Linked DNA regions of Caenorhabditis elegans. The protein of the gene in region 1 interacts with the protein of each later gene in a pairwise test. Each region holds a gene or a part of one and is shown in the gene's direction. Other genes may lie near its edges. The genes, in order: hrpu-2 and F47B8.3.

Region 1 (15,970 bases):
ACTCATCCACGTGGAATTCCAATGCGTGGGCGGTGTATAATGGAACGATGACGTCATTGTTGAGTATGACGTCACGGGTTTGGTGTGAAGGAGACACGTGGCATGTAGAGATGAAGAAGAGTGGAGAGACGCAGATTTGGAGTGATATATCGGTGTATTGCCAGTCATATCGATTTAGATAAATGATACTTGAAAACTTTTTTTATAGCTAAAATTTTTTATACAAATTTTTTGAAATTTTGTTTTTGATCTAAATTTTTTTCATTGCTCATTTTTCTTTAAATCTATTTTAAAATTTAAATTCAGCGTGTTCTCAGCTTCAATTTAAGCCTAATCATGATCTGCCTTGCTAAAATTTGAAAATTTTCGGGTCCCGCCACGAAAACCTAGCCGATTTCGTGATGGGACCCAAAAGTTCGAATCGGAGGGAATACAAGCATGATTATACGTAAATGAAAACTAGAAATACACTAAATTCAACATTTTATATTATTTCTAGTTAAAATTGAATTTAATTACTTTACGTGCTAAAAAATGTTCAAAAAAGATTCTGAAAAATTCGAAAATTTTGAACTTTTTCTATTTTTTATCTATCAAAAGTTTTCATGTTTTCTACTCAAATGGAGTATAATAATGTCCATATTTGCTGAAATTTTTTAGAATTTTTGGGTCCCACCACGAAAATCCCCCTGGGTACTGTAGTTTCCGTGGCTGGACCCAGAATTGGAGCAACCTAGTCATGATTATATATATATATATAATTAAAGCTCTTGATGAGCTGAATAAAAATCGTTATGCTGAGAACAAAAACCCTGCGCAAAAACCCATTTGACCTCTGCGTGATAATTCCTTTGATTTCAGTATAATCACGACTATTTATATTCCCTCCTATTTCGATTTTTGGGTCCTGCGATTAAATCTGCCAGTGGTACTGTATGTTTTCGTGGCGGGACCCGAAAATTTTTTATGTGGATGGCTTTACGCATGATTATACTTAATTTAAAGCTTAAGACGCTGCGAAAAAATTAAATTCGATAGATAAAAGTTAGAAAAAGTTCGAAATTTTTGAATTTTTAAAACTAAAAAAAAACATTTTGAAAATTTTTTAAGACTAGAAATAATATAAAATTTGGAATTCAGTGTATTTCTAGCTTTTATTTAAGTATAATCACGACAATATATCCCCTCTAATTTCAATTTTAAATTCCGCCAAGAAGTCTCCCGAGGTATTGTAGTTTTCGTGTTGGGACCCAAATTTGTTCCATATTCGTCACGTTTATGCTTAAATCAAAGCTAGAAGCAAGCTGAATTCAATTTTCATATTCTTAAAGTTTAGAGACAGGTGGTTTTTAAATTTTCAGGGTATAAAACTTCTGCTCCCCGCAAAAAAAGTTTGTTACCCAGTCAAAGAGAAAATCTTTTTATTTTTCATTTCCGGTGGGCCTTCTTCTCTTTTTTTTAATTCTACTCTGAAAAAAAAAATGCAAATGCACATTCGTTTTCCAATTTGTGTCCCCCTTTATAAACATGTGTGAGAAAATGCGTATTTGTGCTCCATGAGCAAGAATATTATCGACTTTTTCATATTTCAAATGATAGGAATGAGGAGGATTACCTTAAGCCGCTTTAATGTGGTGTTCCGTTTTATGATTTGTCAAGTGGAGCTTTACGGAAAAAAATGTTTTTTTTTGGATTTCCAGGCCACCACGTATTGTGTGGTGGCCTACTTTTATTTTATTTTAATGGAGAAATAAATTTGAATTATGGTGGCTTTTTCAGAATTTAAAAGTGCCGATTTTCAGCCGATTTTTTTGCATTTTAAATTGGTGGCCTAGAAAACCAAATTCTAGATTTTCTAGGCCACAGTGTTCCCAGGTTGTAGAACCAATTGGGTCAAGCTAGGGACACATTTTAAAATTTCAAAAATGTTTTTTTATGATACCTTAATGTCGGTGGCCGAACTTATTGGTTTCTAGGCCATCAACTTAAAAATAGAATAACTCTTTTCACTTATTAGTTTTTGATGAATTAAAAATTACTGTAGCTATGAAAATTCCTTTATCATTTTCTGAGATCATTTTTTAGGTCATGGCCTAACTTTGGTTTTCTAGGCCATCAACTTGAATTTTGGAAAAGCAAATTCAGTGGCCGAAGTTATGGGCCACCAAAAACTTGCACAACTTGCATAAAACATTTTAATATGATTCAAAGACCAAATTTGTCCACAAAACAATTTTAAGTCACGGTTTAAAGTTGGTTTTCTAGGCCACCAAATTTTAAAAAAATCAGTGGTAAAAAAAAATGTTTTCTAGGCCATCAATATAACCATCGTAACTATGCTTTAAATCAATTATTTTTAATTTTGCAAACTGGGAACAATTTTCATGGCCTAACTTTTCACATTTCTATACCACCAACTTTCTTTTTGTGGCCTAAAATGTTAGGGGGTTTCTAGGCCACGAACCCTGGTAAAAATGCTCATTTGTGAGCCAATTTAGTAGAGATTAAGCGTGCTTGTTTCAATTTTACATTAGGCCAGATGCAAATCTTGTTTTCTCCGTGGCCGTGCCCTTTTCTGAATGCTCTGCCGACGGAGCACACATACACAAAAGAGCACAAGACCTAGGCCAAATTGAGTTGAGCTTTGAGCTCTTTATCTCTTTTTTGGAGCACACACACACACACACATCTAATTTGAAGTGCTTGTAAATGTTAGGTGAATCTTTGTTTCTTTTTTTTTTTTGAGATTTTTTTTTGCTTCATTTCGAATTATTTTTTAAATATGTTTCTCGTTCAATCGGGAGAGTAATATTTTTAAAATCTATTGCATTTTTCAATTTTTAAAAATGTTAGTTTTCCACCAAGTTACACCCATTTAAAGTTGATGGCCTAGAAATCCGAATTTGGAATTTTCTAGGCCACCGAATTTAATATAATCAATTTGTATAATATTTTCGCAGTGTTCCAAATATTTTTTTTTAGAATTCGAATATATTAATTTTGAAGCAAGTCATGAGCAATTTAAGTTGGTGGCCTAAAAATCCAAAAATTTCTAGGCCACCGAAATAAAAACAGTAAATTTTATAGTCCACAGAGCTTTGCGTATTCTGTATGTTCCAGTTTTCAAAATTCAAAAATAATAGTTTCTCGACAAGTTATAGCGATTTAGAGTTGGCGGCCTAGAAAAAAGTAAGGCCACCATTTTTTTTTCGCCAAACCTTGGCAAAAACCGTTATTTTTTTCCTTTTAGAACATCTTTAGAAAATCTGTTTCTTCGAATATTGATGTTGGTGGCCTAGTTTTTCACATTTTGGTTTTCTAGGCCACTTTGTTCGTGGCCTAGAAAGCCAAGTCTTCAAAAATTAGACAAAACGAATAATGCTTTTTTCAGACATTGAAGATTTTGATTTTGAAGAGAGTTTTAACGATTTTCTGTTCATGGCCTAGAAATTTTAACTGGGAAAGTTAGGCCATCAACTTAAAATTGCTATAACTTTGAGGAAAATCCAAAATTTTAAATTCTGAAAACTAAGTCACGGACCGTCTGCTCTTCAAGTTTTGAAGTTGGTGGCCTAGAAATCCAAAATTTGGGTTTCTAGGCCACCAAACTCCACATGCCGAAACTTGGCTCCAAATTCGAGTTTTTGAAATTGTGAACCTCCACCAATATAAGAAATTTGTACGCTGTAAGCTCTACAATTAGTTTCGAGGGTGGTGGCCTAGAAATCCAAAATTTGGTTTTCTAGGCCACCAACTTTAAACCGTCGTAACTTGGCTCAAACTCGATGTTTTTTGCATCTGTAAACAGCAAAAACCTTGTTTTCAAGTTTTCAAGAAAACCTCTATACTACTGAAGCCTCTTTTTTGTATCAAATTTCATTTTGTGATTCTTTTCTTGCTCCAGTCTCCGGCTTTTTTCAACTTTTTTCACACATTCTTCTTCAGTTTTTTGTGCCATTTTTCTCCTTTTTTGCCTATTGTCCTGAAAAAAGAAGGATGAACCCCACGAGATAAAATAATTATCCCCTCTTCCCCTTGCGGTGAGCACTGGCTCAGCTCCCTATCCGATTTCAAAATTTTTCAACAATTTTTCCTTTTCATTTCTTCTTCCTGCTTATCTCCTTGCATTTTTGATTAATTTTTCTCGAAAAATTGACCTGAAACGCCATTTTTTAGTTGGTGGCCTAGAAATCCAAAGGTTGATTTTCTAGGCCATCAGTCTTAATAATCTAGTTTTGCGGCTTCAACTCCCAGAAATCCAAGTAGATTTTTGAAACTCAAATTTATTGATTTTGAAGCAAGTTACAAGCAGTGAAAGTTGGTGGCCTAGAAACCCAAATTTCGGATTTCTAGGCCACAAATTTCACAATTTGTAGAATAATTGGTAGCTAGTATTTCACAGTTTTAAAAAACGGCAATATTGAAGTGAGTTATGACAGTTTTAAGGCCATGGCCGAACTTTTTCCAGTGGATTTCTAGGCCGCCAACAGGCCAACACAAAATCGGTAAAACTCGGTTCAAAATTACAATTTTCATATCATAAAACGAAATTTGAAATGCTGAGAGATTTAGCTACTAAAATACTACATTAAAGTTGGTGGCCTAGAAAAATCGCATTTTGGATTTCTAGACCATCAACTTTAAATTCTTGTAACTGGCTGCAAACACAACATTTTCGAGTTCTGAGAAGATATTTGGAATAGGGAAAACCTACGAAACGTCTTTTTTTTTTAACTTGCCTTGATTTTCTACCCCTAGAATTCCTAGGTGGCCTAGAAATCCAAACTTTGGAATTCTAGGCCACTACATTCCCAGTTTGTAGAGCAACTTTTAACTAACTAGCAACACGTCTTAAACTTTAGAAATGCTAATTTAAAGCAAATTATGATACATTAAAGTCGGTGGCCGAACTTTTGGGTTTCTAGGCCATCAACTTAAAATTAGCATAACTCTCTTCAAACTTATCAGTTTTTTATAAACAAAAAACTGATTTTTATGTGAATATACGTTCTATTATCTCCCACAACAAAATGTTATGCTATGGCCTAACTTTGGCTTTCTAGGCCATCAATTTAACATTCCCATAACTCTGCTCAAAGTGCACATTTTTCAGTTTTTGAAAAGCCAAAATGGGCGGCTCACAATCTACAACAAGCTCTCGAGCCGCAAAATTCAGCGGAACCAATAGTGCGAACCGCCGGAGCGTCCGAGCAGTCCGAAGTGCTCCGGCCACTGAGCTCAACGCGCGGCGTGCCACTTCGTGTCGGAATACCAACAGGAATGTCAAGGAATTTTCAAAGTTTTGGAGTGATGGTAAATAACTTTTTTTTGTCTTTAAAAAAATTGAGCTTTGAGGAAAAAAAATTTTAAAGAAAATTTTTTTTTCTGAAAATTCTAAATTTTTATGTTTTTTTTTCGAATAACTTTTTTAAAAATTTTAGCGGGCTCTATAAATAGATCAAAATCGTCCAATAGAGCATCAATGAAGCAGAAGCAGAATGGAAACGGAAGCATACGCCGAAACCGAACACAGTGTGAGCTTTATAACTGAAATATCTCAAAATCTGGAATAGCTGTCGAAAAGTTTTTAACTAGTAAATTGTAGAGCTCTTTGTGCTTAACAAATTCTCAGATGGCAACTTTTTGGTATCATTTTGCTCCGCGGAGTTATAGCCGTTTAAAGGAGCATTGGAGATTGGAGCAGCTGGCTTTAAAGCTTGATAACTCTTCCAATAAAAGTGTTATCAAAAAGTTGTCAACTAACCATTTGTAGGGAATTCTTAGCTGAACAAATTATTAATTGACAATTTTTTCATATCACCTTGCTCCGCGGAGCTAGGATGCTCAGAAGAGATCCCGTAATCCTTGGAGGCTCGCCTCTAAATTTAAAATTTTTCCAGCCGTAGACGTCCGCCGAGCATCAAACTGTCTCCCGGTCCCCGGTACCCCGTCAACTATCCCGAATCCACAATTAACTCAGCGAAGAGCCACAAGTTTCCGAAGCAATGGTTCTTCCACGTCATCAACGCTTACTGTGAACGGAGAGGGGAGGAAGTCGAGGAAGGGGAGCACTACGGAGCTGCTCACACCGAATTCTGCACGATCTGATATTTATTCAATAGAGGTACGGTGGACGGTCACGAGGGTTTTTGAATTTTGGAAAAATATTGATTTTGAAGAGAGTTATGAAGGTTTGAAGTTGGTGGCCGAACTTTGAGTTTCTAGGCCACCAATTTTTGATGTTGTAGAACTAGCATAATCAAGTTTGTTCCCAATTTCAAAAACTCTCAAAATTACGCCAAGTGATGCAAATTTTAAGTTGGTGGCCTAGAATTCACAAATTTCGGATTTCTAGGCCACCACCTTCAAATTGGCATAACTTGGCGGAGAATTGAGTTTTTTTTTTGAAATTTAAAAACTGGAACAAACTTGCAAAAATGTGTTTTACAATGTCGTCAAATCTGGTGGCCTGGAAACCCAATATGAAAAAGTTAGGCCACCAATTTCAAACTTCGTAATTTGTTTCAACAGTGATTTTTTTGTTGAAAATTCAAAAATCACCACCGTAAAACTCTTTATTTCGGCAGCATTGAACTAAGAACAATGGCCTAGTTTTCCAAAAACTTGGTTTTCTAGGCCATCAACTTCAAGCCGTTGTAACTTGGCTCAAACCCCATATTTTTTGAGATTTTCAAAAGCTATTGTTTTCATAAAACGTTGAAAATTAGAGGGGTGGCCTAGAATTTTAACTTGTAGGTTTTCTAGGCCACCAAAGCATTTTTCAATTTTATCGATATTTTTGCGCAAAAAAACGAATTTTAACTCGAGTTTTCTCAAAAAAATCAATAAATAATCGATTTTTGCAGTTCAACCAAGCGGCGATCGCTGCCGCTCGTCTGAAACGCCTCTCGCTGACACCGTACCCGGACCCCCAGCTGCCGCGTCTCTCCCCATTACAACAACAACAGCCACATCATCGATCGAATTCCACAAAGAAGAGTGTGACGTCATCCGTCAGCCCAAAACCGCGCACACAACAGCCACGTGGCAAAAGCAACAGCAGCAACAATCATCTAAAATCTCCAGAAACTGCGATTTATTAATGAAGATTTTATATATATATATAAAAAACGATAAAATTTTGAATTTAACTTTTTTTTCATTCAGGTTTTCAGGGGAAATCTGCAAAATTCACCGAAAAAAACTTTTAAAATTTGAAATTCGCGGTGTAATGCATTAATGCACCGGGAATGCGCCAAGGCCTCTTGCTGGCGCACTCGAGGATCACCGCGCGCACGAGAAACGCGCAAACAAAAAACGCAGTGTTTTTCGCGTTTTTCATCGATTTTCCATCGTTTCTCCTCGTTTTTTTCTCATGTTTTCTTCTTTTTTTCTTCTTTTTTCATTAAATTTATTGATTTTCAGCGTAATTTCAACGAGTTACTCAATAAAAATGACCGACGAGACTGAAAATGTGCCGAAAACCGAGCAGGAGGTCCCAAATGACCCGGAGTCTGAAAAGGAAGTGAAAGAAGATGCAAAGGAGGAGGTAAAGGTACGTTTTTCTTGGGTTTTTTACTTAAAATATTTATAATTTCAGGATCTAATCCCCGAATTCTACTCTCAACACGGCGGAGACCCACGTTTGATCGATATCGCCGCGTAATGATGCAAAATCGGCCGAATTTTTCCAAAAAACTTTGATTTTTTCAGGTCTGTCTGGCTTTCTGGCATCCCAACTGACTTCATCACGGATACCTATGAGCAATTCTGCGAGACCATCAAGAATATCATGAAAATGGGTCATAAGCTCGATGTTTCCACGGTTTCAAAGGTAAAATCGGCGAGAAAAATGGGTTTTTTGAATTAAAAATTGCGGTTTCAGATCGTCCGAATTCCGAATCTGGACAGCAACGCCAAGAATTCGGTATTTTATACTATTAATAAGAATTTTCAGACAAAAAACAAGCATAAAATGCGTTTTAGGCAGTGCTTTTCAAGAAAATGCGCGATTTTCAAGTGGAAAATGCTTGTGTTGAGCTCAATTTATCGAAAATTACGTGGAAATCCAAGAATTTAGGCTAAAAGTGGCTCGAAAATCAAGCTTTCGAGTCGAAATTTCAAGAAAGTGCAGAGAAAGAGAGAGAAATTCACCTTTTTCGGAGGATTTTTCACAAAAATTCTGCCTTCTGAGCCAAAATTAGTTCTGAATTCAAATTTTTTTTTTTGATGATTTTTCACTCGACGTGGGGGGAAAAGCTTAAAATTCAAGTTTTTAAGCTTTAAATAACCTTCTAGATTACATTTTAAAGGGGATTTTCACGGAAAAAGAACGATTTCTCACAATAAAACTGGAGTTTATAGCAGAATTTGGATAGGAAACGCTTGAAAGTCAAGTTTTTAAGCTCAAATTTCAAGAAAATAGACTCAAAATTTAAATTTTCGTCGGTTTTTCCCAGAAAATCCAGTTATTCGTGCCGGAAATGGCCTAAAATTCAAAAAAAAAACTGGAAATTCATAATTTCTGACGAAAAATTGCGATTTTCGAGCCAAAACTCGTCCCATTTCAGCCGACAATGGCTCAAAACTCGAGTTTTAAGCCTAAAATTACAGTTTTTAAGGGATTTTCACAAAAAATTCCAGGGTTTGCAGCCGAAAATAGCTCAAAACTCAAGATTTTAAGGGTTATGGTTATCACTTCCAAAATAGCCTGAAAATTAACGTTTTCAAGCCAAAATTCAAGTTTTTAGGCGATGATTTTTCACAAGAAAACCTCAAAATTCAAGTTTTTAATGGTATTTCAATTCAAAAAAGAGCTGAAAATGCACAGAAATTTCTGCCGAGAAATTGTGAAAATTTTCAAGCCAAATCTTCTCTCCAATATCTCCTCATCCATATGTGGCTTCATATTACAGGAACATGCTCTGCGAGCGCTAATCTGTTTCTCAGACAAGAAGCACATTTATCGAATGATGACACGTGAAGCCGAGTTTGCGAAAGAAGAAATGAAAGTGGAATTGATTGAAGAATTGCCGTCAGACGCGTTGGAAATCAGTGAAGACGATAAATGTCTGCTTTTGAACGGACTTGTCGAAGCTGAAGACGCTGGAGATGATGTTGATGTTGGTGGTGGAGATGACGATGAAATTGATGAATTAATGGATCATGATGATGAAGGAGGGCATGATGAACATGAAGAAGATGAAGAAAGTGATGTTAAAAAGGAGGAGGAAAAAGGTTCGCAGAAGCAGCAGCTGGAAAAATGCATTTTTTGGAGGGATTTTGACCCAGAAATGGGGGTTTTCGGTGAAAAATGACCCCGGAATGCTCTCAAAACTAGAAAAACATCAAGTTTTTGCGGTTTTCATACCTCAGAAGTGAGCATTTTGGCTTGAGAAAACCATCCGTGCGCGGTTTTGTTACCTAAATCAGCAGCAACAACTGGAAAAATGCAGTTTTTGGAGGAATTTTGAGACCCGGACACTTGAAAATCACTCAGAAATGGGGATTTTTGGTTGAAAATGCTCTCAGATGATTTTCATTGCTAAAAAATGCCTCAGAAATGAGCATTTTGGCAGAAGAAAACCATCAGCGCGCGGCTTTGCACGGTTTTGACGCCAAAATCGGCTATTTTTTTTTGGTTTTCCAACTTAAAATCGCATTGAGTGGTCGTTTTAATCATTTTTTTTGGGGATTACTGGACATCGGTCACAATTTGTCTCCCTGAAGAAGAAAAAAGTGGTTTTGGCACCTAAAATCACTCAGAAATGGGTATTTTTCAAGCTAAAAACCGATAATTTCGACTTTTGGCTCCGAATATGCATTTTTCGGAGGGATTTTGGCTCGAAAATCACCCGGAAATGGGGGTTTTCGGTGGAAAAAGACCCCAGAATGCTTTCAAAACTAGAAAAAGACATCAAGTTTTTGCGGTTTTCATGCCTCAGAAATGAGCATTTTGGCTTGAGAAAACCATCAGCGTGCGGCTTGTTTTTGCCACCTAAAACCACCCAGAAATGAGGTATTTTTGGTGAAAAAAGACCTCAGGATGCGCTAAAAACTAGAAAATATCAAGTTTTCATGGTTTTCGTAGCTGAAAAATGCCTTAGAAATGAGGATTTTAGCAGAAAAAAACCATGAGCGCGGTTTTGTACTACGGTTTTTGGCACTAAATCGGCTATTTTTTGGGTTTTGAACCTAAAATCGTCGTTTTTAGAGAGAGAAAACCATAAAATGGTTTTAAAATTTCTTTTTAAACCATTTTTTGGAGATTCATCACAATTCGCCTCTGAAGCAGTCGATTTTTTGATTTTGGCATCTAAAATCACTCAGAAAAGGGCGTTTCGGGCTAAAAAGTCGATAATTCGAATTTTGGCGCCGAATATCACTCAGAAATGGGTATTTTGGTCCAGAATGGCTTTCAGAAGGTATTTTTGCTCCGAACAGAGAGAAGCGACGCAGAATTTCTCAAATTTGTGGTTTTAGCGCCCGAAATCATTCCGAAAAATCATGAATGCCATCAAAAATGAGCATTTTCGATGACAAGAATTTTGTCTTAAAAGCTCCAAATTCCAATGAAAATCATCAATTTTTCGTTTTTCAGGCAGCGAAAAGAAGGAGAAGAAGCCTGAGCCGCCAAAGAAGAAGGTTTACGAAGATGAAGATGAGAAGGCTCCGTTTGAAATGTATTGGGATGGAGCTCCGGAATTCCAGTGGAGATGTATGTGAAAATCCACAATTTTCACACTGAAAATTTTAACAATTTTCCTTTTTAAAATATAAAAAATCACGATTTTTCACTCAAAAACACCAAACAATCGTTATTTTTAACCCCTAAAACCACAAAATGACACAGTTGTCCTTTAAAAAGTTCGAAAAATCCCCCAAAAATTTCAATTTTTCTCTCAAAAACACCATATAATTCCGATTATTTTATTTTTAAAAACCCCCAAAAAAATCATAATTTTTGTTAAAATTCTGAAAAAAAAACACTGAAATTTAATAATTTTTATATAAAAACCTCTCAAAAAATTTCAATTTTTCTCTCAAAACCACCAAAAATACATCGTTTTTTTTTCCTAAAGCTTCAGCTCCAAAAACACTTCGATTTTCATTTAAAACCCTAAAAATTCCGATTGTTTACTTAAAAAAAAAACGGAAAAATATCGATTTTTAATTACAAACCTTCAGAAAAATTCTGATTTTTCACTTGAAAAAAAAACACCGAAATTTTATATTTTGATATAAAAACCTCAAAAAATTCCAATTTTTATTTAGAACCCTCAAAAATTCTGATTTTTTATTTAAAGACCTTGAAAATTCCGATTCTTCCCTGAAAAATCCCGATTTTTCACTCATAAAAACTCCAAAAAACCCGATTTTTCACTTAAAAAACTCCAAAAATCCCGATTTTTTACTCAAAAACTTCAGAAAACCCGATCTTTCACTCAAAAACTTTTTTAAAAAACCCGTTTTTCACTCAAAAACTTTGATTTTTCACTTAAAAACTTCAAAAAAATCCATTTTTTTCACTCAAAAACTCCAAAAAACCCAATTTTTCACTCAAAAACTCCAAAAACCCTCAAAACCTTTACCATGTTTTGCAGTATGCGAAGGACCACGCGACGAGAAAAAGCTGATAATCGATAATTTGTTGTGGGCCGATTTGAACAATGTCTTCATCTACCGTACAATTCAAAAATCGACAACGTGTGAAATCAACTTTCCGACTCGTTTCAATTCCGATGGAAATCGTACGTGTCACGGAAAACTGACACTCTTTTTCCCGGGAAATGTTGCAATTATGGATGAGGCACTGAAGCATTTGGTCTATTTCCGTAGTGGAGATGGAAGAAGAATTAAAGTTTTTCTGCCACAAACCACAGTTTCTTTGAAACGAAAAGAGGAATTCGAGGGAAAACTCGGAAGAGTTATTAAGCCGACCGAACGAATGATGCAGTTGATTGTGAAGATCCTTCCTGACGGTTATACTCCGACGCTGGATGAAGCTTGTGCTTGGTTCCCACTTCAAGCCGTTATTCAGTGTGATTTGGTTAATGATGAGATGGGGTGAGCAAGAGTTTTGTGGCTGAAAATAGCTTAAAATTGATTAAAAATAGCTGAAAATTCACTAAAACTAGCTTAAAATAGACGAAAAATAGCTTTAAAATTCACTAAAATAGCTTAAAATTGACTGAAAATAGCTTAAACTTGACTGAACATTCAAAAAAAAATAGCTTAAAATTTAAGAAAATTGTCTGAAAGTAGCTGAAAATAGACTAAAAATAGCTTAAAATTGACTGAAAATAGCTGAAAATTCACTAAAACTAGCTTAAAATAGACTAAAAATAGCTTAAAATTCACTAAAATAGCTTTAAATTGACTGAAAATAGCTTAAACTTGACTGAAAATTCACTAAAATAGCTTAAAATTTAAAAAAAATTGACTGAAAGTAGCTGAAAATAGACCAAAATATCCTGAAAATAGACTAAAAATAGTTTTAAATTGATTGAAAATAGCATAAAATTCACTAAAATTAGCCTAAAATAGAATAAAAATAGCCCAAAATTCACTAAAAATAGCTGAAAATAGACTGAAAATTGCTTTAAAAATTACTGAAATCGCAGAAAATAAGATAAAATTTACTTTGAAAAAACGGTGTAATTCGCTTAAAAATTTATGGAAAAAGCGTAAATTTTCTTGAAAATTGCTAAGAATGAAAGGAGGAAAATGACAATTAATAGCTGAAATTTGAGAGAATTAACTGAATTTCTATTCAATTCTCAAGTTTTTCAATGAAATCTCACAAAAAATTTGAAAATCATCTGAAATTCTGCAAAAAAAAAGTAGAATAAACTGTGAAAAATCTGCTGAAAATTCATCATTTTACTTAAAGGAGGACTAACGGTTCGGACGATTTCGAACGTATAGACCCAAAATGAGCTCAAATGAATGAATTTCGTAATGAAACTGCTCAAAAATTTTTCAAAAATTTTTTATGGCGGTTCAAAATTTGGAAAAAATTACACGGATTTTAGCTAAAATCACGATTTTTTCCCATTTTTCCGTGTCACATCTGTTCGAAGTTGGATTTTTTGGAATTATCATCCTTTATTGCATATATTATTTGGTAGTTTATCTTATTTAATTTCGTTGATTAAGGTACATTTAAAGCCGATAGGTAGCCAAAAATCATCGAAATTGGTTACCTATCGGCTTTAAATGTACCTTAATCGACGAAATTAAATGAGATTAATCACCAATATATGTAATAAAAGGACGATAATTCCAAAAAATTCAACTTCGAACAGATGTGACACGAAAAAACGAGAAAAATTCATGATTTTAGCTAAAATCAGTGTAATTTTTTCCAAATTTTGAACCGCCATAAAAAATTTTTGAAAAATTTTTGAGCAGTTTCATTACGAAATTCATTCATTTGAGCTCATTTTGGGTCTATACGTTCGAAATCGTCCGAACCGTTAGTCCTCCTTTAAGTAAAATGATGAATTTTCAGCAGATTTTTCACAGTTTATTCTACTTTTTTTTTGCAGAATTTCAGATGATTTTCAATTTTTTGTGAGATTTCATTGAAAAACTTGAGAATTGAATAGAAATTCAGTTAATTCTCTCAAATTTCAGCTATTAATTGTCATTTTCCTCCTTTCATTCTTAGCAATTTTCAAGAAAATTTACGCTTTTTCCATAAATTTTTAAGCGAATTACACCGTTTTTTCAAAGTAAATTTTATCTTATTTTCTGCGATTTCAGTAATTTTTAAAGCAATTTTCAGTAAATTTTAAGCTATTTTAGTGAATTTTAAGCAATTTTCAGTCTATTTTCAGCTATTTTTGGTGAATTTTGGGCTATTTTTATTCTATTTTAGGCTTCGAAATCGTCCGAACCGTTAGTCCTTTAAAATTCAATACTTTTTTCCAATAAATTTTCCAATTTTTCAGAAATCCGTGTGCAGTTGTAAAATTCGAGACAGCCGAAGAAGCTGTGGCCGCTCACGCTGGAAAATCCTTTGTGACAATTGTCCAAAAATCGATGATAACTGTAAAGGATTCGGAAGGAAATGAGAAAGAAGAAGAGAAAGAGACGGAGACACACTGCAATGTTTTCATGAGAGGAGGTATAATAATGGGGTTTTAGACGGAAAATTGACGATTTTTGGGTCTGAAAATGTGAAAACTGGCCGCGGGAAACGCATTTTTCAACCAAAAAATCATGAAATTTGAGCTAAAATATCACAATTTATGATTAAAAAAGGTAAAAAACACGTATTTTATTGTAAAAATATCTGAAAATCTCAAATTTCAGCCAAATTTTGACCCAAAACTTGTGTATTTTGAAGATTTTTGCTCTAAAAATCGAAAATATACTGAAATTATATTTCTTCTGCACAGTTTTCTCTAAAACAACGAGAAATTAATGCATTTTTTACCCGAAAATCGAGTTTTTAAAGTTATAATTGCTTTTTTTTGTGATTTTTGACAATTTTTTCGACTGAAATGCACGAATTTTGTCTGGAACTACATTATTTTCCACTAAAAATCGTCAAAAATTAAACGAATTTGGCTGAAAATTGAGCAATTTCAGCTGAAAATCGCTTTAAAATCTCAGCTTTGACGATTTTGTTTTGGAATTCCAAAAAATCTAATTTTTCTCAACGTTTTCCTCAAAATTTAACATTTTTCGAGGATGTTCGCTCGAAAAATTGACCGAAATTGAACGAATTTGATGAAAAATTTGCAAATTTCAGCTTAAAATCGTTTGAATTCCTCAGATTTTTGCCGTTTTTTGTCTGAAATTTATGAATTTTGGCTCGAAATTCATTATTCTCCAGTAAAAATCCCCAAAAATTGGCAAGTTTTGCTGAAAAATTCTCTCAAAAAATTTATAAAATCATTCGAAATTCAGCTTTTTTTAATCAAAAAATTGTCTAAAATTGGGCAATTCTAGCCCAAAATCGCTAAAAAATTTCAGTTTTGACGATTTTTCTTCTGGAATTTCGAGAATTTTAATATTTTCTCTTCCCATTCTTCTTCCTGCTGCTGCTGACGATTTATTTATTATTGGAAAAAATTGTTGAAATTGGAAAAATTTTTTCCTCTGCGATAACATTTAAACAGGTGGCCGGGGGCATATTGGTTTGAGTCAATATCAGAACAAAACTTTTTTTTCAATTTTATTTGTTCATTTGCTCACTCCCCCGCATACTGTCTATATATTGGTACACAATTGTCAATTTTTGGGCTCATTTTTCACATTTTCCGATTGAAAATGTCATATTTTCGACTTTAAAACTGGAAAATTCTTGAATTTTTGAAACACTGAAATTCACATTTTTCTGTTAAAAAAAATCAAATTTTCAGCTCAAAAACTTAAAAATCGTTTACCTTAAAACATTACCTTAAACATTACCTCAAAACCTTAAACATAGTTTTTTTTGTTGCTGAAAGTTGGAAAATTGGTGATTTTTCACTTTTTCTGTTAAAAAACAAATTTGCCACTTAAAAAAGTTTTCACCAATTTCCCGCAATTTTGGCTTAAAGGTGGAGTACCGAAATTTGAGACTCTGCTTTTTTTAGACCGAAATTGGTCCAAAACTACCGAATTTCGTAATGAGACGTTCTGAAAATTGTTCAAAAAAAAGTTGTGGCGGTTCAAAGTTCGGCAAAATAAGGCCCATTTTCAGCTAAATCAAAAATTTTTCCAACTTCTTGGTGTCGCAACGCCTGGAACCTAATTTTTATTTATTCATCACTTTTGAATAAATATTGTGGTCTTTGAGTGGGCGTTTATTCGTTGTTTTAAGTACATTTATGGTCAGTGGGGCACAAAATGTAACTTTTATTTGTGCCCCAAAAAAAAAAAAAAACCATAAATGTGCGTAAAACAACGAATAAACGCCCACTCAAAGACCACAATATTTATTAAAAAAGTGATGAATAAATAAAAATTAGGTTCC
Region 2 (14,966 bases), on another chromosome or scaffold:
TTGTGTATTCGGGCCTCTGGCCCTCAATCCGGTTAACTGACCTAGGTGACCTTTTTCATTACTTTTCCAAAAACATACGTAGTTATAGAAACATACCTCTCAGAGAAGGCCTCCAGCCTGCTCTGCTGGGTGTAGGGATAGAAAAGGCCTAAAGTTTCAAAGAGTAAGAAGGTGGCCCTAATCCCTGATTTTTGGGTTTGAGTGAAATACAATAGCATTGCAGGCCTCCAGCCTGTCCTGCTGGAAGTCAGGTTAAAAGTAGCCAACATGTTCAAAAAGTGCGGCCCTCAATTAGATTAGGGAAAAAGTAAAAATCTCGAAAAGTCTTCAAAATTGAGTTTTCCTCACGTTATTAAAAATAAGAAATGAAAATTATCGAATTCATCACCAAAAATAGAGAAAGAGAGAGAGTGGTAGAAAAGTTTTTCACGTTTAATCAATCTTTTTGATTTTGCAAAAATTGAATGATGGCCTACATTTTGGAAAGTGCGCCAATTTTTTTCAAAATAGTTTCAAAAAATTGGAAATACGAAGTTCTCTCTTGCGCACAAATTGGAACCAAATGTCAGAAAAACTGAAGATTTGGGGCTGAAAAAACATGAAATTCGTCAGTACAAAGAATACATCCATTTCGACCATACTCCAGAATTCCGCTCAAATCAGTGTTTTAGCCTTCCCAAAAGCTCCCCCACAATGATGACGATGGAAGGCGCTATTTTTATAAGCTATTGAAACAAATTGCTCAAGAAACCGCCAACCCTAAGCCAAGATATAAGCTCTCAAAGTGCAGTCACATTTCTCGGGACACCCCATTACGACAACGTGCCCTTATTTTTTATTTCTGTCAAGAATGCAATTTCAGGATTTAATATAGGAAGAGGCAGAAAAAATATTTTTATGAAGTTCACCCACATAGGACGATTAACTCGAGACCCCTAACAAATCAGAAAAAAACGCCAAGTCCAAAAATTTTCGGAAACTAGCAACTTCTTGATACGTACCCCCCAAGCACACGTGAACATTTAGTAAATTTGTCATACTTATGAAACATCCAGGGAACACATACATATATGAATAAAAAAACTTATTCATTGATTCGGTAAATTAATTGTTCAAAAAAAATTGGAAACACTATTCCATATCGATAATTGGTGTGACATAAATGTAAACATCTTCAATAGTAAGTTCTTCTTCTTTTAAAAAGTTATTCTTCACTCTTCCTTCGAATTCTTCGTGCCCAGCGTCATCCTGAAACATTTATCAAAATCAAAACTCTGCTTTTCCAAAAGCATACCATATTAGTTTCAACTCTAGTTCTTTCATCAGTTATCACAGTCAGCCAGAACTTTGCAGAAACTCCTCCCTCATAACATGGAAATACTTTATGAGCATTCCCATCTTTCATATTTGCTTCAATAGTACTTTCATCAATTGCATAAAGTCCAGTAGTTTCTCCCTGAGGATTTATAGGTCCAGTCCATTCTAATTCAATGTAGAATCCATTTTCAGTAGTTTCAGGAGTGAGGGGGTTTCCCAATGGAAGAGTCAGTATCTCTGATTCGGCATCATGGACATAGTTTTCACAATCAACACTTGCATCTGAAATTTGGAAAAATATTTAAACAAAAGTCCACATTTTTGAAAAATTCGGCAATTTACCAAAAAGGTTGACTGCCTTAAAAACATTTTTTATTTGGACGTTGATTGCTCAACATTAATCAAAATTTTACTGATTCAAATCTTTTAAATAGACTTAAGTTTAAAAACTTACACACAGGACATCCTTCATTGAAATCGTAAAACGTGGCAAGTCTGACAGAAGTCCACTGAAAATCTCTAGATGTTTGAATTTTGATCTCCGATGTTTCTCCTGTGAACTCGTAATCGATTTTTACTCTACCATTGTATGAGTTATTTCCCAGATTGGGATCAAGTTGGAGAAGAATTTTAATTGGCCTGTACGTAGTAAGAAGTTCTGACATTTTTAGTTGTAAGGTCAAACTGAAATGAGAATAGATGGAAATGAGAAGGCGTTTACGATTGAAAATGTGTGTGAGAAATACTTGTTGGTGGTAATGCAACAAAATAAGAGAAATGGAAAAAGATTGCAGGCAGTTTTGGTTTTTGGTTGTTGGTAAATCAAAAACAATACCAAAAACAACAATAATAACTGAATACTTTGGACATTCGAATTTTTGACAATGCAAACATCGCGAAAACTCAATTTTTGAAAACAGCTTTCTTTTAATTTTTTCAATTCAGTTTAGATAACTTTCTCTCGAAAAAAAGCGTATGTAGCCTGAAAAGGAAAGCAAACGACATATCGCATACACTTTGTAAGGATTTAATGGACGTCATCAATGTTGTTAATTGAGAAAAAATTATCTTTTACAAAGATCAGAGAAATCTAATACGTCAATTATCTTTTTCTATATGTTCAAACTAAATAGAAATACGGAAGAGTGGTGGGCGCATGGGCACATCGTTGAAAAAAAGTTTTATGTAGTCTACCAAGATTACGACAAGTCCTTACCCAAGGCTGTAATTTTGCAGATCGGCTTATTGCCAAACTTTTGAAAGGATTGACCGAAATGTTTTTTGTAATACATCAAAAATCGAATAATTTTTAAAAATGGATTCGACGCTTCCTTACAAGATGTACTCTCCACATAAAGTTTTTCTCACTTACCAAATGTAGGGTGAAATACCACTCTAATTTTTTTGAGTTTCTGACAAGAAATCATTCAGTTCTTAAACAATGACGACTTGAGAGACGGTTCTCATACACAGTAACCTTCCCTACGCCTTCATGAATATAATCGCGAAAAACTGCCAAAACAATCGCGAGGCTGCTAATAAAATATCCTTTAAAATTTAAAAAAAAATTGAAGATCAAAAAAATAAATTTGTTTTTCATTAAGAAAGTAGACAAGAGAGACAAGGAAACTGAATAAAATTTACCCTGAAATTGTTGAAGAAAATGCTTTCAGCGTATTTTCCATTATATTCAGTCCCGTAGAATTGCATTTCTTGATCGATAAGGATAAAAAATTCCAGGTTATAAAAATCTTCCAAAACCGGATGTCAATTTCTGTTTAAAATTTTGTAAAAGTCCCAAAAAAGGCGTGAAAATGGCACACACATAATCCGAACTTTTGATATTCCTTGTTGATCTCTTTCGTTCACCTGAACTTCTCAATCTAATGTTGAATCAATATTGAATGTGTTTTCCCCTATAATCTCCACCCCTTTTTCCGTTCTCCATACAATAGCTTATATGTAGGAATTGGCAACGGAATTCTTATCCACACATCTTTTTCCCAAATGTCGCAGTTTCTCATGAAAACGACGAAAAATAAAGTTCAACGATGTGTTAAAATTCTGCTCTTATTCACATTATTTCTAGCTTGTTACAAAGTTTTTATTGCTTATCTGGTAAGATTCTTTCAAAACTTTTGAGCCTTCCAACAAAGTTTTTATTTTTTTAAATATCAATTAAACGGTTCAACATTGAAACTTTATAGAAATTTTCAGGAAGATGTTCGAGAAGAAGCCGCAGACGAAGAAGACCTTCAAACAGTTTTTATGGACGCGAATAAGAAGGAAATTTTTAAGAAATGGCTGGACTGTGCAAAGTGGAGCCTCTTGGTTATTGATGATCCTGTTCAGGTATGTGGCTATAGTCTATAGTAAAAGGCTATAGTGAAAGTTTTTTTAAAGTAACAAAAAATCTGTAATGATATCTATGAAACTGTTTCAAAAATACAGTAAGTTTTAAAAATGTTCCAAATTAAAGTTGAAAAATAACTAAAAATAATTTTCAGCTAGAAAATCAATTTTTTTACATTTTTTAACTTTTAGTTTAATATGAAACATTTTGAAATACTTTCTGAAATGTTTCAGTGAACTTACTAAAACAATTTTCAGTAGTCATTTTTAAATTCACTTTCCAAATAATTATTTTCAGTTCTGGACTCAATTTACAAAGTTAACCAAAAAATGCGACGAAGACGCTGAAATCGACAAGCTTGGCCTCATCACTCTGAAAAACAAGGATGAGGATAAAGTTGCAATTTTGCCGAAAAATGTGAGTTTTATTTTTTTGAAAAACCGTATGATCACAACACGTGGAATCAGGTTATGCTAAGGTGCATAGAAAACAGATCAGATAACATTGAAACAGTGAGATGTTATCTCTAAGGCTTGCCTCATTTTTCGTGGAACATAAAACTTATAACAGAAGGAAAAAAGCAACGGCTGATTTAAGCGGGAAATGGAAATTATTTATAGGAATCGAAAATTTTGAAAAGGTGAATGAGAAGTTATGAAATTGGAGAAGCTTTATTTATTTAAATGAATTCGCCATCTTTTAAAAATGTATAGAAAAAAAATACACTGTAGTTTAAAGTTGAAAAAAAAAAGATTTTTTGGTTACATTGAATTTCCTGTAAGATGGGAATTGATGAATTTCAAAGGAAATAAAAAGTCAAAAAGAGAAATTGAAAAAATATACAAAAATTTCCAAAATAAATCAGTTCAGTAAAGTACTTTTTGAGCGTGTCAAGACAAAACAATAACACTAATTTCAGTTCCAGAATGATGAAAGACACACATTTGTAACCATCGGAATTGGAAAAGACATCACTGGAGAGCAAAGATGGCAAAGGGTGTGTTTTTATTTGAAAAAAAAAAACTGACAAATATTTTGGAAAATTGAGCCAAAATTGCAGAAAATGGGAAAACTCGGAAAAACCGTCGAATTCTACGGTGCCGACCCAATGACTGAAGTGAATGAACATTTATACCCACAAATAGGAAAATATTTTCCATTTGCAGTTGCTAAAAATCCAGGATATGCCACGGCCAGTGTTTTGATAAATAGAAAGTTTTGAAATACAATTTGAGATGATTATTCAAATTTTCAGGGCAATATTTTAATCAAAGTGTTATTCATGTAGACATGATGTATTTTGTGGAAAGGCTTTTAAAATTGAAGGTATGGTTTTAAACTTTTCTAAGTTTCAAAAACTATTATTTCAGACAATTGACAATTTGTGGATGGACTCCGAAGGTGCCGAATACGATCTTTTTGAAATTTTCGAGAAAGACGGAAGTTTTGACAGAAATGGAATAGAACTCTGTCAAGTTAATTTAGAAGTTCATCTATCAGAAACGGGTCCTAATAATTTACACTACGAACGATTTATGCATTTCGTGAAGACACTGATAAAGGAAGAACGATTTGCAATCTTTCGAACCGAAGAAGTGATACATATGAGAATGTATATGTTTAATTTTGACAGTGATTTTTGTCGGCGTAAATATTAGGAATTTCAAATAAATAGTTTAAAAAAATCCTGCAATTCGTGAAGATCTTTAAGTTAATATTGTTTTCACAATTTTCAAAAAAAAAACTTCAATTTTCAGTGTCTTTGCAAAAATAAAATTAACAAAGCCTGCAATAATTTTTGAAGCGATTTGTTTGTTTTCCTTGTTTAGCTTCTTCAATTTTATTACATTTTCAACTTCTCACTTTCATTTTCACAACAAAATCAAGTTCTTATTGGAAGGCGAAACAGTATATAAACAGAAAATCATCGAGAACGGCATCATTTCACCTTCTAATTCCTCATCAAGTGAGTTGGGATTTCCAGATTATTTAACTAAATATTAATTTCCAGGTATGAATCTCCTTCTGATCTTCGCTGTTTCTACTTTAATCTTTTCTGCTCACTGTCAGTATTCAAGTGGCGGAGGAGGTGGTGGTTACTCAGGTGGTGGAGGTGGTGGAGGAGAAGCTGCACCACCATCTTCACCACCTGCCGATGCAGCCCCTGCTCCACCACCAGCTCCGGAACCAGTTCCAGCTCCAGCTCCAGCTCCAGAAGCCGCACCTGTTGCACCATCAGCTGACGCTGGAGGATATGCCGCTGCGGCTGCACCCGCCGGTGGCGGATCTTATCCAGCCAAGAAGAGAAGAGTAGCTCGTGATTATGCTGAAGGAGAAGCTGCTCCAGCTGCTCCAGCAGAACCCGCCCCAGCTCCAGCTCCAGCTCCAGCACCAGCACCCGAAGCGGCTCCAGCACCAGAACCAGCGCCAGCTCCAGCACCAGCACCAGCACCAGAAGCCGCTCCGGCTGCGGCACCAGATGCCGCTCCAGCAGAACCAGCTCCAGTACCTGAGGTTGCTCCTGCCCCCGCACCTGCTCCAGCAGCCCCAGAATCAGATGCCAGTGGTTACTCCTCTGGTGCTGCTGCTCCAGCTGGAGGTGGTGGATCTTATCCAGCCAAGAAAATGATGCGCTTCTCCCGTCTCGTTTTTTGAAAACTTTTTATTCTACATTTTCGATCTTGCTTTTACCAACTGGTTCATTTTCATTTACGGTTCAAATGACATCAACTTTTAATAAAATGTTTCTATCATTTCGCATGTGCTGTTTACTTTTTGCTGCTCGACCAGGTGATACTCTTATCAGTTGAATACTTGAATACTGCACACTGACTGTTTTGTGTTCCATTTCAACACATTTGTTGTTTACTTCAAAACTACTAAACTGAAATGGGAAATTATCTTGAAAGCTCTTCAGAAGAATTCAATGAAGCTGCTTGGCATTCAAGTGAGGAAGATTTCAGTGTCAAACTTACAGTTTTAAGGTATATAGGAAACATATTGCGTTCACCAGAAAGCACATTTTCAGAGATGCAATGATTCAATTACGAGTTCAGTTTCTACATTTTCAAAGTATTTTCTATCATCAGAATAAAGCCAAAATTGAGCACGAAAAGAAGTCACTCAATGTTATAATTATAGTCGTTCAAAACCAAATTGACGATATAAAGCTGATAGTTGGAGAATATTTCAAAATCAAGAACCTCCAGATGTTGAAGACAATTATTGATAGCTTTGAGTATACATTGAATAAAATAGCATTCGAAATAAGCAAAGCAAAAGTAATGTTTTTTTATTTTTTTAGAAATTTAAGAATAGAATTTCAGGGCCAAAATTTTTTCATCGAGAAGGTAGAGAAACTAATCAACAATCTCAATCCATTCGACGTGCCAATTTACGAAAATATTCAAGGCGTCGTATTAGAACTGAATACTCAAGTTTCATCAATGGGAAATATTCCTGAAAAACTAGAAATTAAAACGCAAAGGGAGACTTTTCAACTCGAAGTGAGTTTAAATCTCTTACAGTTTGCTACAAAATTATGTTACAGGAAGAAAATGAGATCAGAATGGATAATTGTAGAATGATGAGTGGTCAAGCTAAAATTTACAAAATCTTCCGAAAATCGGTTGTTCTTTTCGTGAATTATCTTGAGGATGAGCAAACTTTATCTACAATACAATCACTCAATGATAATCAAATTGAATACACTATATTTGATGTTTCCACAGATTCTGAAATTCGATTTATTTCAAAAGCATTATCAGATTGTGAAACCTTCCCTCAGCTGTTCGTTGATGGAGCTTTTGAGCCATTGCCAATTCTGAAAAATCTTCTTCCGAAGCTTCCCAAGGTCTACACAATGAATTGAGCATCACACAATTTCTAAGCTATATGTATATGTATTGTTTATTTTTTATTATCAATTTAAAATAAATTTTTTCAAAAATAATGATATTTAAAAACTATTCATTCATATGATTTGCTATCGAATTTCATCGATTTTAGTTTTTCGTTAATTCTGCAAGATTTTCCGAAAGGACGTACGTAAAAATGTAGTTAGAACGTTTTTATTTGTGCTTTATTAAAGCAACTCTACTCTTAAAAAAAACTATTCTTAAGTTTCAAAAATAATTGTCAAATAATGACTCGCGAGATATCAGCTGCTTGAACTTTTTCCAGAGTTTGGATATGAGATTTCCTCAATAGGAATCATGTAGACAAACTTGTGGAACATTTTGGCGTTTGAAAGATTTTTTTTGAAAAAATCCTCCATTTTTGAGCTGTGCTTAAAAAGCCATTGAAACAGTAATTTTATATCTCATTTTTCTTAAAATTCTCTTTCTGACTTTTTGGTCATATCTGAGAACAGAGAACCCTGGTATCCCTCTCACATGGCATCTCTAGCCTCTCTGCCATCCTCCTGTTCCTCACCGATGCACCATATAAATCGAAGAGAAACAGAGAAAAAGCCTTGACTATGAAACACTGCGTCTCCGTTCTCTTACACTATTTATATGTTTGCTTTTTTCTCGAACTAGTTATTCTTCGCCAACCAATTTTAATTTTTTCTTTCTTTTGCTTCGTCCTTCTAGGAAACGATGATGCGCGGAGTTTTTGGAAAGTCTCCGGAGAAACTGAAACCCGAATTGGAAAGTGAAGCTGGTGAAGAGGATTTAGGTGTGAAACTCACAGTTTTGAGGTGAGAGAAACGTTCCCTAAAACATGAAAAACTAGTGACGGTTGCGAAATAATTTAAATTTTTTAAGATGTTCAGACAGTAAGTTTCAGATTAGAAAAGGCTCTTTTAGCTGAAATTCTGAGGTGGAATAAGAAAAATTCAATTAGGTATTAATTGTAAGTCCAAATTTTCAAATTATAACCAAGAAATTTGATTCCGAAATTTCAGTTGAATATTTCAATTCCACTCCTAATTTTATGTTTTGTATTTTTCGATAAAATATTTCATTTTAGCATACAAATTTTGCCTGAAACCGTAATTTTTCCGTTGAAAAACGCGGAACATTTGTGAAATTCAAGATTTGCTCACATTCATAATTAATCGATTTTGAATTGCGAAAACTTGCGGAAACCATAATTTTTATTAAAATATGAAATTAGACACTGAACAAATTTAAATTTTTTTCAGAGATGCAATGATCCAAATGCGAATTCAATTTCTCCAGTTTCAAAGTGTCTTCAAATTTTGGGATTCCAATGAAGACAAATTTGTGAATGACCTGAAAGCATTGAAGATCATTGTAACAGTTGTTCAGAATAGGATTGAAGACCTCAGAAACGTGGCTTCGGAGTACATTGAATTGCAAAATTCACAGCTAGCAAAAAGAAAATTGGACAAGTTCGACGATATTTTGAATCTGATCGTTTTGGAAATAAATGAACTAGAGGTAAGTTAAAACATTCTCTTAAAATTTTCAATCATTAAATTTCCAGAGAGACAATTTCTCAATTCAAAAAGTTGAGAAACTAATTAACAAGCTTAACCCATTTGATGTTCCAACTTTTGAAACTTTGGAAGAAGACACTGCAAATCCAGAAAAACTACCCGTTAGCAGAAAAGCCACAAATTTTCCAGATCAATTGACAAAACAAACAGCTCAAAGGGAGGTTTGTTCTGAACTGAAATTCATGTACAATTTTAAAAGTTATGTTTTCAGGAAGAAAGTGAAATTCGAAATGATAATTCAAAAATGGAGAATGGTCAAGCTAAAATTTACAAAATCTTCCGGAAACCAGTTCTTCTTTTTGTAAATTATCTTGAGGATGAGCAAACTCTATCTACAATACAATCACTCAGTGATAATCAAATAGATTACACTATATTTGATGTTTCCACAGATTCTGAAATTCGATTTATTTCAAAAGCATTATCAGATTGTGAAACCTTCCCTCAGCTGTTCGTTGATGGAGCTTTTGAACCATTGTCAAATCTAGAAAATTTGCTTCCGAAGCTTCCCAAGGTCTACACAATGAATTGAATCACTATTTTCTACCTGATCTTTTTACAAACCTCATTTACTCCGAATACCTCGTAAAACTCACATGATGAATCTATTTATTAATGAAATGAAGTTATTAAAAACCGTAAAAATTATGAACCGGTTACAGTGAGAGAGATACATGGGGATATAAAAAAGTGTCAGTTAAATAACGAGACGAGAAAATCTCATCATTTTCTTAGTCGGGTAAGATCCGTCAGCAGCTGGAGCAGCTGCGCCGGCGGAATATCCACCTGCGTCTGCTGCTGGGGCTGCTGGAGCGGCATCTTGTGCCGGAACTGGAGCGGCTTCTGGTGCTGGTGCTGGAGCGGCTTCTGGTGCTGGTTCTGGTGCAGGAACTGGGGCGGGTTCTGCTGGCGCAGCTGGAGCGGCACCTTCTTCAGCATAATCACGAGCAACTCTTCTCTTCTTGGATGGATAAGATCCACCACCAGTTGGAGCATCTGCGCCGGCGGAATATCCACCTGCGCCTGCTGCTGGGGCTGTTGGAGCGGCATCTGGTGCCGGAGCTGGAGCGGCTTCTGGAGCTGGAGCTGGCGTTGGTTCTGGTGCTGGAGCCGCTTCGGGTGCTGGAGCTGGAGCTGAAGCGGGTTCTGCTGGAGCAGCTGGAGCAGCTCCTCCTTCAGCATAGTCACGAGCAACTCTTCTCTTCTTGGCTGGATATGATCCACCGCCGGCTGATGCAGCAGCGGCATAACCTCCGGCATCGGCTGCTGGTGCTGCAGGGGCGGCTTCTGGTTCCGGAGCTGGGGCTGGAGCTGGTGCGGCATCGGCAGGTGGAGGAGGAGGTGGAGCAGCGTCTCCTCCACCACCTCCACCACCTGAGTAACCACCACCTCCTCCGCCACTTGAATACTGACAGTGAGCAGAGAAAATTAAAGTAGAAGCAGCGAAGATCAAAAAGAGATTCATATCTGGAAATTAATATTTAGTTGAATAATCTGAAAAGTCCCAACTCACTTGGAATTAGAAGGTGAAGTGATGCCGTTCTCGATGTCTTTTCTGTTTATATACTACTTCTCTTTCTAATCAAAACTTGATTTTGTTGTGAAAATGAAAGTGAGAAACTATTAGTTTAAAACAAAAACAGATGAAGCTGAAAAATAAATAAATTACCAAGAGAATTTAAAAAAATATATTTTCAAAGTACATTTGGAAATCCGCATTGAAATAAATTAAGGAGATTACCAACGGGACTGTCGCCAATGCCTCATTAAAATTCCAAAAATTTAAGTGAGGTCAGATTTGGCCAATCCATTTCTCTACTTTTGACTACCAGGAAATTATATTTTTCATAGCATAGATTGTTTATAAACACCCTAAAAATGACTGGTCAGTATTAATAATTACAAAAATGCAATTTTTAAAACAGGCATCTGTTCAAATCCGATTATCCTCTTTCTGCAAAACCGTTACAGTTACAATATCACAATCTTTCAATTTGTTTTGTTTTTCGTTTCACAAAGCACGGTTATTTTACAATGTGTTTTCTCTCTTTGTATTCCTTTTGTTAAATTTGAGATTGATGTTGTTTTTTTCTATTTTTGCAGCTACTGGCTTTTCCCTAGGAACTAGTTTTAGGTGTTCCGCATTCTCTTCAGCTGCCCGGTATAAAAGTTGGAAGTTGAAATTGAAAAGTATCATTACATTCTCCATCTTCCTATTTCTTCACATCAAAGTGAGTTTCACTGAAGTTTTCAAAACTTTCACTTCGAATTTTTCAGAAATGAAGCTGTTTCTTATTGTGACTTTGTCTGCTATGGTCTGCTCGATCAGTTGTGATTATGCCAGCGGTGGAGGAGGAGGAGGAGGAGGAGGAGGAGGAGGAGGAGGAGAAGCTGGATATTCTGGAGGAGCTGGGGTAGAAGCTCCACCACCTCCTCCACCTGCAGATGCAGCTCCAGCTCCGGCTCCAGAACCAGCTCCAGCACCAGCACCAGAAGCCGTCCCAGCACCAGCAGCCGACGCCGGAGGATATGCCGCTGCAGCTGCTCCAGCCGGTGGTGGATCTTATCCAACCAAAAAGAGAAGAGTTGCTCGTGATTATGCTGAAGGAGGTGCTGCTCCAACTGCTCCAGCAGAACCAGTCCCAGCTCCAGCTCCAGAACCTGAAGCCGCTCCAGCACCAGCCCCAGTAGCAGAACCAGCTCTAGCCCCATCACCTGACGCCGCTCCAGCAGCCGATGGCGCAAGTTACTCCGCTGGCGCCGCTGCTCCAGCCGGTGGTGCATCTTATCCAGCCAAAAAGAGAAGAGTTGCTCGTGATTATGCTGAAGGAGGTGCCGCTCCAGCTGCTCCAGCAGAACCTGCTCCAGAACCAGCTCCAGCCCCAGCTCCAGCACCCGAAGCTGCACTAGCACCTGAAACCGCTCCAGCACCTGCCCCAGCACCAGCGTCAGACGCCGGTGGTTATTCGTCTGGTGCTGCTGCCCCAGCCGGAGGTGGTGGATCTTATCCAGCCAAGAAAATTATGAGATTCTCTCGTCTCGTTGTCTAAAATCTGTTTTTTTTTTCAACTTTACCCCGATCTTTCCAACTCTAACTGGTTTTTGTTTTTTTACGGTTTCAATTGAATAAACGTTTGATTTTTGAAACACTATCTTTTTAACATTGCCCAAGATCGGATAGTTTTAGTCCAAATGCGCTTTGTTGCAAAAAAAATGGTGAAGGGAAATAAAAGAGGCGGAGGGAAGACGGAGAGGTTCATAGACCAAATGCATGTTGTTTTTCTTGTTTGCATCTTTCTTCAAAGGAGTACAACCTCAAACATCAATTTCAATATTGTTTTCAGTTTCAAGCTTTTTCCCACCAATTTCTTACCCACTCTCAAATTCTAATTCATATTACCGGATTTTCCAACTAGATTTGCCCTCCCTTGTTATAGTTTGACAGCTCATGTCTCGATTGTCTGCAGTACTATGCAAAATTGCCAACTAACAAAATGCATACGTGCAAAGTATTCCTCAACATTTTGACAGATGGAAATGTTTTGTTAACACTCAACACAGTCGAGATATAAGCCGTAAAAGTGCGGCAACTTCAAACAATTTTTCCCATGTTCCCCAAGTAGCAATTACGGAGCCAAGATAATTTTTTGCAGTGAAATTGGGCAATAAGAGGGTTAAACAGTAGTAGTTTTTGTACTTTTTTTGGTAGGCGGAGAGATACAATACTGTTTTTTAATGCAACTTAACTTACAAGTTATTAAGTTTGATAATTAATTATCCTGATCACAACATTATCAATGCGGGTGTCTCCCACACTCTTCCGCTTCATCTTATTTACTTTTTCGTTTTTGAGATGTTTATAAGTGGGCTGAATACTTTGATCACAGGCTTTTTGATAGTTAAGGATTTCAACCTATTTTTGTGATTTCATATAAACCCAACAAAACCCACAAACTTGTAAATCTCATTTATTTTCTGGTTTCCCGTGTTCAATATTTCATAATAGATCAGCGCCAAAGATTTGCACTTTCTTTTGCAAACAAACAGTCGAGTCATTCAACTGAATGTTCAACTCCTATTTTTGTTTTCGTATTTTGTATCAGCCACACTATGCTCTATAATCCTTTCTATTCTGATAAACAGAACAAAAATCAGTTTCCATAGCAACAACGCGCAGACTCTTTTTTGTATAAATATGCGATAACAGCCTAGGAAATCAGTTAACCCGTTAACTCAAAAACAATTAATTTTGAATTCGAAAAGTTGATATTCCAGAATTTTAAACATTTTGCAGTACTAGTGCGTTTTGAACTTTTTCATCAATGATTTTATATTTCATGAACATAATGCTAAACACGTCATGAGTCACATTTTGCACTGTTATGAAATAAATGAAAAACAAAACTACCAATAAACAAAATGACTATAAAATTACGAAAAATCATTCCTATTTATTCTGAATTTTTGTTTCGCTATCCCCAAAGCATCTTCTATATCATCTCAATTTTCAACTATTTTAAAAGATTCCCATTGAAAAACCTTGGTGTTCAACTGTTCTCTCCCATGACGTGGTGGTCAACAGAAAGTGTTTACTCCGAAAATTTCTTTGTGGTCTGTGTCCCACTATCTCTAGGTCACACCCCTCTGTTTTCCCAACTAAGTCCTCCAAAACCCACCCTCTATCCATTTTTTGTCTTTTTTACTTCACACCACACATATGTATTGCTCACTTTTATGATTTTAAATTTTTGCTAGCGTTCCGATAAGGGTACATCGTGTTGACTAGAGCTGAGAGTTGTTTGCTAAATAGCTTATTTTTTTGCCAGTTGTTGAGCTACAATTGAATACTTTAACAATAGGCAATTTTCAAAGCTGTGAGAGGCCAGAAGTGTTTGCAATTGGTAATTCTCGAAGTTTCAGTCGATAAATGGCAAAGGTGTTGAACCAGAGTTTTTGAAATCGATAAAATATTGGATATTTTCAGAAGTCAGAGCCTAAAACTTTTTTTCTGCAATTTATTAGCAATCGGCATATGTCTTCTTCAATTCTTCAGACTAAAATTTTGATCTCGATTAAAAAAAGATGACGCCGCAGAAGACCGTCAGAAAGATTTTTTATTCCTCACAAATAAAAATTTTCTATGAGGAATATGAAAAGATATGACGATCTTTCGCTTAACTTACCACAAAAATGGAAGACGAAAAAAAGGCTCCGCCCTTTATGAGAAAACATGAAAATGCATTCTACAAAAGATCATAAGTGCGCCACACAATATAACAACAATTCAACAAATCATTCATCTTGCATGTGTTTTTGATTATGATTTTCTTGCTCTTCCATAATAATTTCTTTTTTCATTAAACGTCTTTATAACCTGACTTTCAGAATGGACTACTCCAACAATCCACCACTAGGTCTTGAGCCTCCAAAACTTTGCTGCATCCCAGCTCGTCCTCTTGTATGTGTCCTGTCAGTTCTTGGTGCCGCCCGTGGAATCGGTCTCATCATTATTTCGACCAATTGGGGAGACCGTGTCACTGATCTCATCTTCGTCTTTCTCAACCTTCTTCTATTGTTCGGAGCCGCTTGGAACAACGAGCCAGCCTTGAAATGGTCCCAGAGAGTTGTCGCAATTGCAGTTGTTCTTGCTGTCCTTCAGTTTATGATCTGGCCAGTTATGTTTGCCAGTTTCACTGCTTCTGGATTGGCTGATACAAATAAAACCATGTTTGAGGTGGAGGATGTTATTTTTAAAACTCAAGAGGAAAAGAAAAAGATGTTCTATCGTGGAATGCTTTCTGGATATGCTCTTGAATTTGGAACTGTCTT

The links.
Region 2: the proteins of hrpu-2 (region 1) and F47B8.3 interact in a two-hybrid assay, tested with the Caenorhabditis elegans proteins (one large-scale study listed by BioGRID).

The regions. Positions count from the first base shown.
Region 1 is NC_003282.8:2,170,477-2,186,446, forward strand, and holds the start of hrpu-2 (RRM domain-containing protein), read left to right. Parts: upstream 1-7,419; 5' UTR 7,420-7,453; coding exon 7,454-7,555; intron 7,556-7,600; coding exon 7,601-7,662; intron 7,663-7,713; coding exon 7,714-7,834; intron 7,835-7,885; coding exon 7,886-7,927; intron 7,928-8,915; coding exon 8,916-9,237; intron 9,238-10,600; coding exon 10,601-10,717; intron 10,718-11,603; coding exon 11,604-12,066; intron 12,067-13,955; coding exon 13,956-14,131; intron 14,132-15,970. Other genes in the region: C54E4.1 (uncharacterized protein), read left to right, coding at 5,130-5,313, 5,442-5,534, 5,901-6,124, 6,867-7,103.
Region 2 is NC_003283.11:14,316,182-14,331,147, reverse strand, and holds F47B8.3 (Glutaredoxin domain-containing protein), read left to right. Parts: upstream 1-8,144; 5' UTR 8,145-8,271; coding exon 8,272-8,372; intron 8,373-8,819; coding exon 8,820-9,078; intron 9,079-9,124; coding exon 9,125-9,298; intron 9,299-9,348; coding exon 9,349-9,669; 3' UTR 9,670-9,781; downstream 9,782-14,966. Other genes in the region: pepm-1 (Aminopeptidase N-like N-terminal domain-containing protein), read right to left, coding at 1,132-1,248, 1,295-1,599, 1,772-1,982; F47B8.5 (Methyltransferase FkbM domain-containing protein), read left to right, coding at 3,325-3,435, 3,535-3,669, 3,968-4,087, 4,590-4,667, 4,731-4,881, 4,926-4,996, 5,041-5,328; F47B8.18 (Skin secretory protein xP2-like), read left to right, coding at 5,684-6,325; F47B8.4 (Glutaredoxin domain-containing protein), read left to right, coding at 6,560-6,654, 6,699-6,951, 6,997-7,176, 7,221-7,541; F47B8.14 (Skin secretory protein xP2-like), read right to left, coding at 9,835-10,602; F47B8.13 (Skin secretory protein xP2-like), read left to right, coding at 11,417-12,187; F47B8.2 (DUF2700 domain-containing protein), read left to right, coding at 14,524-14,966.